Medicago truncatula: one gene and its partner. The protein of the gene in region 2 interacts with the protein of the main gene of each other region in a pairwise test. Links are inferred from orthologs where the notes say so. Each region holds a gene or a part of one and is shown on either strand. Other genes may lie near its edges. The genes, in order: putative septum site-determining protein minD homolog, chloroplastic; cell division topological specificity factor homolog, chloroplastic.

Evidence for each region.
Region 1: the proteins of cell division topological specificity factor homolog, chloroplastic (region 2) and putative septum site-determining protein minD homolog, chloroplastic interact in binary tests that used the Arabidopsis thaliana proteins (3 or more experiments, as listed by UniProt). The link is inferred for Medicago truncatula from reciprocal best matches to the Arabidopsis thaliana genes MINE1 and MIND.

Annotation. Positions count from the first base shown.
Region 1 is NC_053047.1:18,020,459-18,026,517, forward strand, and holds putative septum site-determining protein minD homolog, chloroplastic, read left to right. Parts: upstream 1-4,076; 5' UTR 4,077-4,143; coding exon 4,144-5,193; 3' UTR 5,194-5,473; downstream 5,474-6,059. Other genes in the region: uncharacterized protein, read left to right, coding at 233-300, 940-1,251. UniProt on the Arabidopsis thaliana protein: Together with ARC3 and MCD1, regulates FtsZ ring positioning in chloroplasts in an ARC6-dependent manner. Calcium-dependent ATPase required for the correct placement of the plastid division site. Inhibits FtsZ filament and ring formation in the plastid.
Region 2 is NC_053046.1:18,841,033-18,848,591, forward strand, and holds cell division topological specificity factor homolog, chloroplastic, read right to left. Parts: upstream 3,263-7,559; 5' UTR 3,130-3,262; coding exon 3,037-3,129; intron 1,518-3,036; coding exon 915-1,517; 3' UTR 651-914; downstream 1-650. UniProt on the Arabidopsis thaliana protein: Acts as a topological specificity factor during plastid division and specify plastid constriction sites (such as the Z-ring) in a MCD1-dependent manner. Especially involved in epidermal plastids division in a FTSZ1-dependent manner.

The DNA of each region.
Region 1 (6,059 bases), on a different chromosome or scaffold from region 2:
TGAAATTAGGTGGCTTCAACACAGAAAAAACTCATGGTTTTAGAGTCGATATGTATTATCTTTTTTTGAAAGAAGAATAGAAATGTATTATGATATAATTTGATGATGTGCCCATGCCCATTTTATGTCAAGTGACTGAAGTTTTAGCAGCAATCCAGCATGTGAATTATTGCTTCTGTACGTTTCTTTTTAGCTTTCCCTGTGTATTCTTACAACTTTCATTTCATCACAGGTTGGGTTAATAGGTTTGCTAATGCTGGTGATACTGCCATGGAAGTTGCTGGGAATACGGCATTACGGGTAAGTTATAAATTTCAAAATGCTTTTATGCGGTGTTAAATATTTCCTTGAATTGTGTCATTGGAGCCTGGATTTTCTTGTGTTTTTGGCTTTAAATACTTCAAATTCTGTGGCTATTGATTATTTGCTATGGAGCTTAGATACTCCAAAATTGCTAAAGAATCGGTTTCATCTGATACCAACATGCCTTCCATACTCCTCAAGGTGTATCCAAAGGGTGCCCTCTAAATATTTTCATATTTCAAAAGAAAATCATTGACTGATTTATTTTTGGGAGACACGCCTTTTCGATACTTATGATATTTATATTCAACTTCAAAACTTGTCCGAAATCTTCTTGCACAACGTTATTCTTTGTCATGCTGTGAACAAAAAATTAAGAGTATATTCTTTGTCAAGACTTGCTTTAAAAAGGACTAATGAACTATGTAAAGTATGTATATTTTTTTATAAGCTTTTGAAGTACCTAGGTCATATATCCTCCTATCTATGTATATTTTGCATGTTCTTGTATCCGTATTATTTTGTATCTGTTGTATCAAGTGTATGGGCTTCATAGGTTATTATACCAGTACTGGCATTGTGATATATTTTGAGAAAACCTATGCACTAACTAATAATATGACCTGGTTATTGCAGTTCCGACAAGCGAAAACAGAGATTGTATCAGCAAGCAAAGTAGCATACAGGTTCCTCCTAGGCGTTACAAACAACGTTACTAACAATGTTACAAACAATATCAAAACAGGTCCCGATTCCCCCAACAATTCAAACAGGGGGGAGTCATCCCCAAGATTTCAAGCTTCTTGGTTGAAAAACATGATTACCAATGGTGCAAAACCATCTACTAGTTCAGATGCTGAGAATCACAATGGAGCTGTTCCTTTACAACCAACAAGAGAAGATGACAAGGCTCTGCTACATAGTTCATCTTCGCGTCATGATAGTTGATGGAAAGGAATCTGTGTCAAAAATGTTTAGCGTTACTTTCTGATGTGTATTCTATTATGTTGTAAGTCACAAAAAGGAAACAGAATTTTTTTCATGGTATTCATAGTGTATCAAATGTATAATTTTCATTTGTTGTTCAACTTCAAATCTTAATATTGGTGCCTCCTGAAACTATGTTCAATGAATATCAAAGGTAATTGTGTTGTTTTATCTTTCCTATATGAATATCTGAATTGATCAAACTTTACAATAGTCAAATTCATCATATGATTTTTTTTTTCCTTTCATGTATTCAGCTGCAGTGTACAATGATGGTAGTAACAATTTGGAGTGGATCATTGAAATTTTCATGAAGGTTTTTTTTGTTTTGTTTCTCTTCATGTACATTTGTAAATTTAGATTTAGATTGGTATACTTGTTTATAGTGTTTGGTTTGATATGAGTGCTAACTTCAAATCATGGTCAATGCAAAATCAACAAGTTAATACAATTATGTAACAGTTTGCTAAGTTTTAAACTTCCTTGTAATGGTTAAGATAAATCATTCTCAGAGTGAAAGATTATGTTTAGAGTTTTTTCGTGTATCATTCATTTCATTACTAGATGAAGTTAGAATTCACGGAAAAGGAAATGATGTTTTCAAACAATACTTCAGCAATAACTTATCTTTTCAAATTGAGTACACGTAACTGGTGTAAAGATACTATACGTTCACGGTTCACCAGCCATTTGATAAATTCAAGTTCAACTTTTGTTTTTTCTTGAGTATTAGAATGCATGTTTGGTATCACGGTATGTTTGATAGATAAAATCATGGTGACCTACAAATTTGAAAATTCGAACTTTCACTTATTTTATTAGCAACATGACTAGCAATAGAATAGATTGTGCGCAAGTCGGAAGAAAATTTCAACACTTTGTTCCCAACTCGAAATTTGACGAAAGAACTAGTAATTTTTTCATTGATAATCATATTATAAGGTATGAAGTGGGTGGTAGTTAATCTCAATCGAGAAATTTGTTGGACATACTAGTTGAGTTCTTTCTTTTCAACCTATATTTTTCACTGACAAGAGTTAAAGATAAAACCATTCATCCATGTTTTAGGTGTTTGAATTCCTTACCACTCAGACCAACCACTTTGAGATATAATTGAATTTTTCCTCATTTAAATTAAATCAATTCTTCTTTTTTTTTTTGGTCAAGTTTACTCCTTTTTTATTTTGTACTTTCTCACTCAATTTTGTGATGAGCTGACTTTTTTTAATGATACGACATCCTTGTCATCATATCATATATATTATAATTAAATTAAAACATTTAAAAATATAGAAGTCTTGATCTTACTCTCTATAAATATAGGAGTCTTGTTCTATACGTACAACTCAATTACTCAATTCGGGGATGCACAAACATTTACCGTGTTAGAAAGCGAGTTCAAACCTATAATTTCTCACTCTCACACTTAATGCGTGCAATTCTTGCTATTAGAAACTTACTATTAGAAAATTTGACAAAAAAAAAATAGTCTTCTTCCTTACCAACAGAGTTATATGTTCACATTGACATCTCATAATGAGTTTTAGTATCACTTGTATTTATCTCATTTTTCATCTTAATTAATAAAAGTTCTTCTTGGCAGTTTAAAAAAAGGGATAGGAGTATAAAATAGTTTTCTTGATTGTTTTCTAAATAAAAAGATTATAATTTTTTTCTCTCTCGGGATAATAAATTAATTGTTTTCCAAAATATTATTTTCTATGAAAAAGCATAAAAGTAAGTGAATATATTTTTCATGAAAAACTAAAAGAGCTAATTACAGCTTTGATCCTCTTATTTTCACTCATTCAAATAATTGGTCCCCAATTTTAAAATTAATATGTTTCGGTTCCTCTTTCAATTTTTTTAACTAAAAATTGATGATATATCATATTTAAATTGAAGTTTGTAGATATTTTTATAATAATTTTATAATTGTTGATCATTTCGTATCAAGTCCTATGATACATCTTTTAAAATACGTTACATCACAATTTTTTAGTCTAAAAATATAAAAAAGGATCAAACCTGTGTAATTTTATAACATAAAGACAAATATATTTAAGTAGATTCAAATGAAATAATCAAAAGTATGGTACATATTGACCATGACAAATTCTAACCAATCATAAACAGCGATCTAAACTTGACAAAAATAAGCACAATGACGAAAAAAATGAGTTGCATCCTCTATCGTTATTATTGAAAAGAGAAAAAAAACGACTAAAGAGAACTAAAATTGTAATTAAACAAAATTTAAAACAAGAAAGAGTATATTATAGGTCAAATGCATCTAAAGATTCTTTAAGTTTTTCGTTTTTTCTAAAGTGGTCCTTTAAATTTCAAAAGTTCCAAACAAGTCCTTTTAGTTTTTGAATCGTTTCAAACAAGTCCTATTGTAGATAACATAGTTGGTAATTGCTTCCTTGAACTCATCTTTGGTACTAAATCTGGCTCCTAACATCCACTTAAAATTAGTCATCTTTTTAGGCATGACAAACGGTGAATAATGTTCTTTGTTGCTATCATCTGAATCATCACCATCATCTTCTAAAATGACTTGTTTGAAACGATTCAAAAACTAAAAATACTTGTTTGAGACTTTTGAAACTTAAATGATCACTTTGAAAAAAACGAAAAACTTAAAAGACCTTTAAATGCATTTGACCTATATTATATTATTTTTTTGACAAAGAGTATATTATATTATTAAAACATAAATAAAAATAAAAATAAAAATAAAAAACAAAAAACAATAAAGCAAAGTCGATATCGTAATCAATCAACACAAGTTTGTCTTCTCCTCACTCACTCACTCCCTTCCATCCCACTCTCTCAAAAACCCATTCACAAATGCTATCCCTCTACAACCACCCCACCACCACCACCACCACCACCACCACCAATCTCAAATCCCATTTCCCTTCAATAACCCATCTCCGTCATTCACCCACATTCCCCAAACCCAAACCCAAAACCCTAACAAAATCCCTTCTTCAATGGAACCGCAAACCCCAACTCTCCGGCGAAACCCCCCGTGTCGTAGTAGTCACATCCGGAAAAGGCGGAGTTGGTAAAACAACCACCACCGCTAACATCGGCCTTTCTTTAGCCCGTTTAGGCTTCTCCGTCGTCGCCATTGACGCCGACGTCGGATTACGTAACCTTGACCTTTTATTAGGTCTTGAGAATCGAGTCAATTACACCGTCGTTGAGATTCTCAACGGGGAATGTCGACTCGATCAAGCTTTGGTTAGAGATAAACGTTGGTCTAATTTTGAATTGCTTTGTATTTCTAAACCTAGATCTAAATTGCCTATTGGATTTGGTGGAAAAGCTTTGACTTGGTTGGTTGAAGCTTTAAAAGCCCGGGGAGATAAAACCGGTGGAAATGGAACTGGAACCAATGGTTCTGGTTCCGGTTCCAGTTCCACTGGTTCTGGCTGTCCGGACTTTATCCTGATCGATTGCCCTGCAGGGATTGATGCGGGGTTTATAACGGCGATTACACCGGCTAATGAAGCGGTTTTGATAACAACGCCGGATATAACTGCGTTGAGGGATGCGGATAGAGTGACGGGATTGTTGGAGTGTGATGGGATTAGGGATATTAAGATGATAGTGAATAGGGTTAGGACGGATATGATTAAAGGTGAAGATATGATGTCGGTTTTGGATGTGCAAGAGATGTTGGGTTTGCCGTTGCTTGGTGTTATACCAGAGGATAGTGAGGTTATAAGGAGTACAAATAGAGGGTATCCGCTTGTTTTGAATAAGCCTCCTACTTTGGCTGGTTTGGCTTTTGAACAAGCTGCTTGGAGACTTGTGGAGCAGGATAGTATGCAAGCTGTTATGGTTGAGGAAGAACCGAAAAGAGGGTTTTTCTCGTTTTTTGGTGGTTAATGATCAATTGGGTTGTTTTTTGTTCTTTTATTAGGTGCAAGCAAGTTTGTAATGAATGATTTTCTAGTGTCTGAGGAATATTTTTTGAAGTGAAGTTTGTTTTGAATTGTGTATAGTTGGAATTAGTAAAGCTTGTTTTCCTTTAATATGTTAATTCATGATTTATTGCTATTAATTGTTAGTATTTTGATTTTGGTAATGTAAGGATTAGTTGTATCTGTAAACACTTCAGGTGAAGATTTGTTGCCATTAGTAATACAATGTTGTAGATGGTTTATCATGATATATTATATTGTGGTTGCAATTGTGTTCCAGTCAGCAATCATGGTTTCATGTGGAGGCAGGGTACGTAGTTGCAGAAAGTGATGCAGTCCATTGTAATCACTATGTTATGATACATGCTGAGTCCTATCATGATTTGAAGCAAAACTTAAAACAGATAAGGTACTAGTTGCAGCATAAATATTGATTTCTTTTGCCTTAAATTGTTCATAAGGTTTGATTCATGATTAGAAATTAGGTGTTATAGTTCATGCTTTGAATGTCGATTAAATAACCATGATGCATTTTGCAAGTTAAAACCCTTATTAAATCAATGATCAAATTTAAGTGTGGTAACGGGTGCTCAAATACACGTTCAACAAGATATTACACATTGGAACTGTAGGGTCAATGTGCATTTGTGTATGTTTACTGCTAAAATGTTGTCAATCGTGCTGGGTTTATGAATAATATCATCTGTTGCCATTGTAATATTATGTTCAAGATGGTTCAACCTAGGATTTTAAATTTCGGCTGCAATTGTGGTCTAGCTGTTAGATGCTGTCCACAATTATAACTTAAACCACAGTTAAATCAGTGATGAA
Region 2 (7,559 bases):
AGTCCTAGAACGTGTTCTTCCTGCAGAACCGTTCTCCAGCCAAGCTAACACGTCACTGTTCTCCAACGCTTAAGAATAACAAGAACAGTTCTTGCTTGTTCTTATTTTCACGATCATGACCCCCAACGATTCTTTCTGATATATTTGTTACCATTTTGCAACATACCTTCTTGTCTTGCTTTGTAAATTAATATTTCCATATTCAGTTATACACATAGATTAAGCGATCGTTCTGTTAAGATATCCTTCATTCTGAACGAATTGATATAGATACAACATATGAGTTTTTCTTCTCAGCTCTTCCATTTTTCTTCATAGGGCAAATATAGATCACATGGCTCCTGGGCTTGTTTAGTTTTTTGCTCCTCTCGAAAGTTGGTGCCAGATTCGAAGAGTTCAGCAAGGTCGAAGAGCAAACTTGCAACTAACTGACCTCTCAGGAAACCGCTGTAAGATACAAGGTATGGTAATGTTACTTAAGGAATGTCAAGGTCTTTGCAGCTGTTTGCTTAACCCAAACAAGATTAAGCACATAGATTCTTCTTGGTTTGAGTGGAGCATCAATGGCTTTGGCTAGCTAGGGAGAATCCATGATTTTATTCTAACTAATATGCTCAGGCTTAAACTATCAGCTCCCTTACAATGGCCAGTGAGAATGAACTACAAACTCCATTTATAATAATGATTCATACAACAAGCAACAAAATCCTATCATAAAGTTAAAAACAGTGCATCAAACCAGACTAACAGATAAAAGGTGTTACAAAATTTCTCATTAAAATCGAGTCACCCACCCTAACGGAAGCTTCAATTTGCAAATATATATACAGCACTCCAAATTGGCTTCATCGGTAAGGGTTTCAAACACTGCCTTCTGGCAAAGAAGTCAACATTCAAGACCTTTTATTTCAAAATCAAGACGTTTCATCCTGAACATAGAAATCAAATCTAACATCAACAGAACCTGAAATATCTCCGGTGTCCTTATACTCAATATTTGTTATTGTCCCAGTTTCATCCACCACTTGATATTCTGGTTTAACCCGCCGTACGGGCACTGTAACAGAGTAAATGGTTCCAATATCTGTATCTGCAGAGACACTCAACTGAACTTTATCTTGTGATTCTATTTCCACAAAATCTGATAGAGCACGCACAATGTTGCTAACTATTTTTTGCTTTGCCTCATCACTTACTTCACATCGATCAGAGAACAAAATCATCTTCAAACGTTGCTTGGCAATCCTAGCAACAGAGCTTTTCTTAGACACTGCTGATGGGAAAACTATCTTCCAAGCCAAATTTAAACGCTCAAAGAAACTCATATTAACAGCATCAAGGAGAAAGTTCTCGGCTTCTTGGCTACCTGACTTTGATGAAAAATTAGAACCTCCAAGGACTGCAAAAACAGGCTTGTGATAGCCACGCATATTGCTTCGTACAGTTGTCATGGTGGAACGTTTTGGGGTGAATCCAGATATGCAGGACCCTCCATTTAAGAAACAATGAAAATCGACCTGTTAGACAGAAAAATTAAGAGATTAACAAGGCATTTTCAACATTTTGTAAATCTTGTAAGGATTTTAAGTAAACTTTCGCATCTATAAAAAATGTAACATTTAAGAAGTCCAGCCACAAGCATCTAAATTAAATATCTCAACGATAAATATGATAAAAGATCATTTTATACAACCTTTTCCACTATACTGAATATCAAAAAGGAAAACAGCTGTATCACATCCTCTTTTAGCAACTGGTCAGCACAAAATGGAAAAATGCTACACATATATTTTCTCCAATTTCTCTAAGGCAAAAACTTTATAACAATAGATAACACATATTTCCAATCAAATGGAATATAGTGGAAAAACAATTATGCACTCCACTGATACTTTGGTCTAGAGGGACACGAAATAGAGTTGCAAATCACTCTCCCCCCATAAAATATGACATGTTTGACTATTTCGCACAAATCAACAAAATGTATAAATTAAAGACAAAGAATAGTACTTATATTGTATTATCCTTATCATGTATAGGTGTATTTATCATCGCCGTTGATGCAAAGTAGAAGGTATTGAATTGGGAGTGGTATATTTAATTAATGTGACCTTCAAAATTGAAAGCGTCAATTATTTTAGGACAACCTTTGAAACTAACTTATTCTGGGACAAATTTCTTTTGCAAATAGGCCAATTATTATTGGACATAGTGAGTAATGAATTGTGGTAAATCAACAATCCTTATAAACTGTAGACAATAACATAACAGCTCATTAAAACTATGAGACCTCATTCCCCTTCATTTTATTACTCAAACATGTGATATAATTTTCAAGGACTTCTGTCATCCGAAAATACATCTATAACAAAAAGCACCACGGTTTCAGTACATGTTTGAATTGATAGTGAGTTTAACAGAATAACAATCCGCTACCAAAATTTTAACAAAAACTACACTTTGAAGTTTCAACAAAAATCACAGTCCCACGATAATTTCTCCAAACTCGCCATAAATATAAGCTTAAAATATGGTTTAATGAGCAACATTTATCCAAAATTTCAATTAATGTAATCACAATTTAAAACATAATGAAGCACAAATACTCCTTGGATTAGGATGTCCCGGTGTCAGATACATATTGAATATATTGAATCTGACACCGACGCATATAATTATAATTAACTTAAATTATGTCATTTTCTCAAATTATTATCGGTGTTGACATTCTGGTGTCTGGTGTCTAAGTTGTTGCTTCATAGAATATCATGCTAATTGCCAAACCAAACTAAATACATACATAAATTCCAACATTTCTGAACTAGAAATTAAAGTAAAAGAGTCGAATTTTCTTCTTCAACACCACTATTAAAACAACACAAACATTAATTTTCATTTTTTCTATTACACATTCTTAATAATTAACACTACACAGTAAAATCTAAAACAGCGCCATCAATTTGAAAGTAAAAATATAAGCTCGAATTAAAAATTAAAATTGAAACCCTAATTAGAGAAAAAGAAAAGGAACGATACCTTTGGAGGAATAAAAGAAGTGGTTGGAAGAAGAGGGTGTGAGCGATGGAGTGGAAGAGTTGCAGTGACTCTAATGTCGCCGGAAATCGCCATTGTTGATAGCTTCGGATTTCCCAACGGATTTTCAGTGCTTCTGTTCACTGTTGTTGCAAGTAGTGTACCCTATTTGCCCCTCAATCACCACTTCAGTACGTCGTCGTTTTACCGTTTTCCAAAAGAGTTGGGCACTGTCCTCTCAAAAAAAATAAAAATAAAAAGTAAAGATTAAATAATGGGATAATACTTAATAGTCATTTATGTCCCCTCAACAAGTAATTGCAATAGTTCATCAATGTTTCAAAATTTAAAATAATTCTTAATTGTGCACGCAACACACTTTTAGTTGAAATAGTCTTGACGCTAAAATAATATATCAATATTCAAAATAACTCTTTTCATATAAATACTAAAAATGACAATGAGTGAGTACTTATAAAGACCGATATGATAATAAGTAAGTGTATTGAAGAATTAATATAACAATATTAATGAAACATTTTAACATTAGGGACTATTATCCCATTATAGAATACCGTGAATTCTAGAATGGATGACTCACCTAAGTCTCTCACATGTGCACTACGTCCTTCCTAACATCTATTAGTTCCTAATAACACATGGTAAACACAAAATTGCCCCCAGCATAGTTAATTACCATTGGTATATCTAGCAACAGTTAACTACCGCTGCGTTCGTTACATATTCAAGTCAGGACCCAGCTTCCAGCCACCCTTTCAATACTCTCTCTCTCTAAAAATTTCAATTTTCACTCTCTCTCTTTAAAAAAACTCTACCAAATCATCCAAATTTTTGCCACTAAATCACAATTAAGTAATCATTTAGGCTATTATCATAAATTTTAGTTGGTATATATGTTTATAATTTTAGTTGTAGTTTAATTTTTAAATTTTGATTTATTTTTTTAATAGCGTTATGTTATAGATCTGAAATGCTATTAACAAATATTATGAATATTTGTTATAATCGAGTTATATTGCTTAAATTTATATTTTTTTTTTCAAGTTTTATAAAAAAAATTGGGTTTTTTAGGGTTTGTGTATAATTTGCACTCCAAATGTTTGATGAAATGTTTGAATGAATTTTTCATTGATTGTTTAATTTTTTTATTGTATAGGTATGTTTGAAACAATGGCCGATTTTTTCAGTGTTTGCATACGCTTCAACGGTGGAAATCCTTAGATGTTCAAGGTTCGGTACATTAATGTCACGTTAAAAGGTCTCAAGGATCAACTAGATGAAATCAACCAAAGACTCAACCCCGGAGACACGAGAAGGGTGAAATACATTTGGTATGAACGTTTAACGTTGGACGACGGGAGAATAACGTTCATTCTGCTAGAGTTAAAGAACGGCGACGACGTGAGGAGTATGTTCTCGATTTTTTGGCAGCACAACATGGTTCCGATGATCGATATGTTTGTCACGTTGCAGAGATCAACTGAAGATATTCTCAACAGTTTGATTCCGCCAGAAGATCGTGATTAGGTAGGGAATGCACCTTCCAACTACAACAATTGTCTTACTTGTGAAATTGGATAAGGTCAACCTGTTAAACAACAGCTCTCAAGCATTCACCCGAAAGTTTTATTGTGCCTTTCAAAAGATTAAGTTCTTGTTAGTTTGTTGAAGATGTTGGTATTGGAGTGTCAAAATATTAAGAGACCATGTATTATGCAGAATCAGCTATATAAGTTATGATATTGAATTCCTTCATATAAGATGAGTGTCACAGAATGCACCTCATTCTCTATGTGATTACTCGTCTTATATGAGGGAAATCGATGTGATAACATATGTAGCTGATTCTGCGTGATACATGTTGTGTTCTCTTAATCTTTTGACACTTCAATACCAACATCTTCAACAAACTAACAAGAATTTAATCTTTTGAATGAGACAATAAAACTTCCAGGTGAATGCTTGAGAGCTGTTGTTTAGCAGGTTTGAATTTGTCCAATTTCAGAGGTAAGACAGTTGTTGCACCACATATCTCTACCCGGATGTAATGTAATGATAGGACATATTTAGGAACTTTATGTAATGTAATGTAATGTAACTTTTATTCGAATTTATTTAATATGCAACTTTATTCGAATTTATTTAATACGCAATTTTTATTCGAATTCACGTTGTGTTTAATTAGTCTTTTTTTGAATTTATTTATTTTTTAATACACAATTTTTATTCGGATTTATTTATTCCATATACAATCATAAAATAAATGCAAAAATAAAGGAACAAAAGTAATAGGTATAAAATCTCATTTTATTAATATTATGATACATTCATGATGGGGTAAAACTAAATCTGAGTTAAAAAAAACCACCAGAAAACGATATAAAAAGAATCTTAGAGAACACCTCAAATTGAACCTAGAACTTCCGGATACTCTTCTCCAAGATACTCATACAAGACAACATCAAGAAGACCCATCAATTGTTCCTCATGGCACTGCTACATGACAACATCAATTCTCGAATTGTGCCTCACCTCTGCACTCTTATTGTTTAACCTCCACTTGGGTTAAAACAAAAAAAAAAATCACAAACCATAAACCCTAAATCCTGGGGTAAAACCAATTCAAAGAAACCTCTTGAAATTTTCAAATTTTCAAAGATGCCTCTTTCAATGAAAGGCCAAGGATGAAAAAAACAACATTGTTGTTGTTAGAGCTGTCAAAACGGGCCGGGCCGTGTGGGCCGGCCCGTTTAGCCCGATTAATTATAGGGCTTGGGTCTTAAATATTGAGCCCGAATTTTAATATGGTTTTTTAGCCCGGCCCTAAAAAGCCCGCTACCCGTTAGGGCTAGCCCGAACGGGCCGAGGGTAGCCCGCTAGCCCGCATAACAAATAAAAACCTATAAATGTTATATATTTTGCAAATAATTCTTTACTTAGTTGATTATCAAAGTAATAAATAAAAGTGAAAATTCAATGAATTAACACAAATATACATGTAATATAAAATTATATTTACCTGTTTCGTTATTTATAATTTTAAAGATCGAAAATATAAATATCTATAACCATAACGTATCTAATTTATTTAAAATTGTTTTCCTCGCCGTTTTAGTTTACGACGTTTGTACAAAAATGTTTACAATTTATTTTTGTTCTAGGAATTATTTAAACATATTAAAAATATTATTTATAAAAAAAAATTATATGAGTATTTTATAGTAATTTTTTTATAAAAAAAATAAATAAAATAAAATTAATACGGGCCTGCCCGTGTAGGGCCGGACTTGGGTAGTATATTTCAAGCCCGTTTTTTCAACCGGGCTTTTTGGCCCGGTCCGATAAAGCCCGAAGCCCATTAGGGCCGGGTCGCCCGTTTTGACAGCTCTAGTTGTTGTAGAAGGAAGAGGAGGAAGGAGAGTGAGGAGGAGAGAATGTGAGATGATGGTATGAGGAAATGGTGAAGGTTGGGAGAGTATTAATAGGGGGTTTAATTAAAAAAATGTTGAAAGAAGAGGTTGAATGATAGAAAAAAAAAGGTTGAATGTAAGTTGTTGCATTCCCGGAACAAACACAACCGTAGTTAACTACCGCTAATGTATTTTCGAATTTTCCATGTGTTATTAATATTTTTTATGTCAGAAAAGCAATTTTCAAGACAAATAAGTCCACGTGATTGTATTACATATTTCAATCTCTCCTATTTGCATCCACTCCTTTGTCAAAAAAAATTACTAATTGACACACAAAAAATGAACAAGGACACATAAATAATATTGAAGGTTAAGATATATTTTTCATTTAACTTAATTTTTTTTTAAAATTTCTATCTTTTAAAAAAAAGTTAAATATTTTATGTCTAGTAGCAACAAACTCGTGCTAATCACGGGTCCATGCTCTATACAAGTTAGACGTCGAAACGCGAGTTATGCGTCAAAGCGCATTTACAATGTTATCTGCATTGAAAAATAAGAAAATAATAAAAAATTTAGGGGAAGAAAATAGTAACAATAAAGTTGGGTAGAGGGTTCAATTAAATCTTCCACTTATTACCGCTTATTTTGATTTGCAATGTTATGCGTGCACATAGTCTCTGTTTCAACGATTTTAGGCAAAGAAGAACTACATATACTATTAATCAATAATTACTCGAAACAATAAGTTGTGTTGTGCAATATCTTTACAAATCAACAATTCAATGATTCCCAAGACAGATTTACATAAATAACTTTCAAATCTATGATTTCAATTAAACAAAAATACTACACAAGCAACGCTATTTCACGGTAGAACAATGACATATGAGAATAAGACAAAGGCTATGGTAGGAGACCTCTTTAGATCTCCTACCGTAGGAGACATGATTTTTTATTTTTTTTTATTTTTTTTTTGTAAAATAGATGGCAACCATTTTTGAAGATCATAGTATTATCATATACCCTTAATACTAAATTTTTTTAGACCCATTATCCTTCTCTCTCCCCGTCCATTAATTTACAATGAGA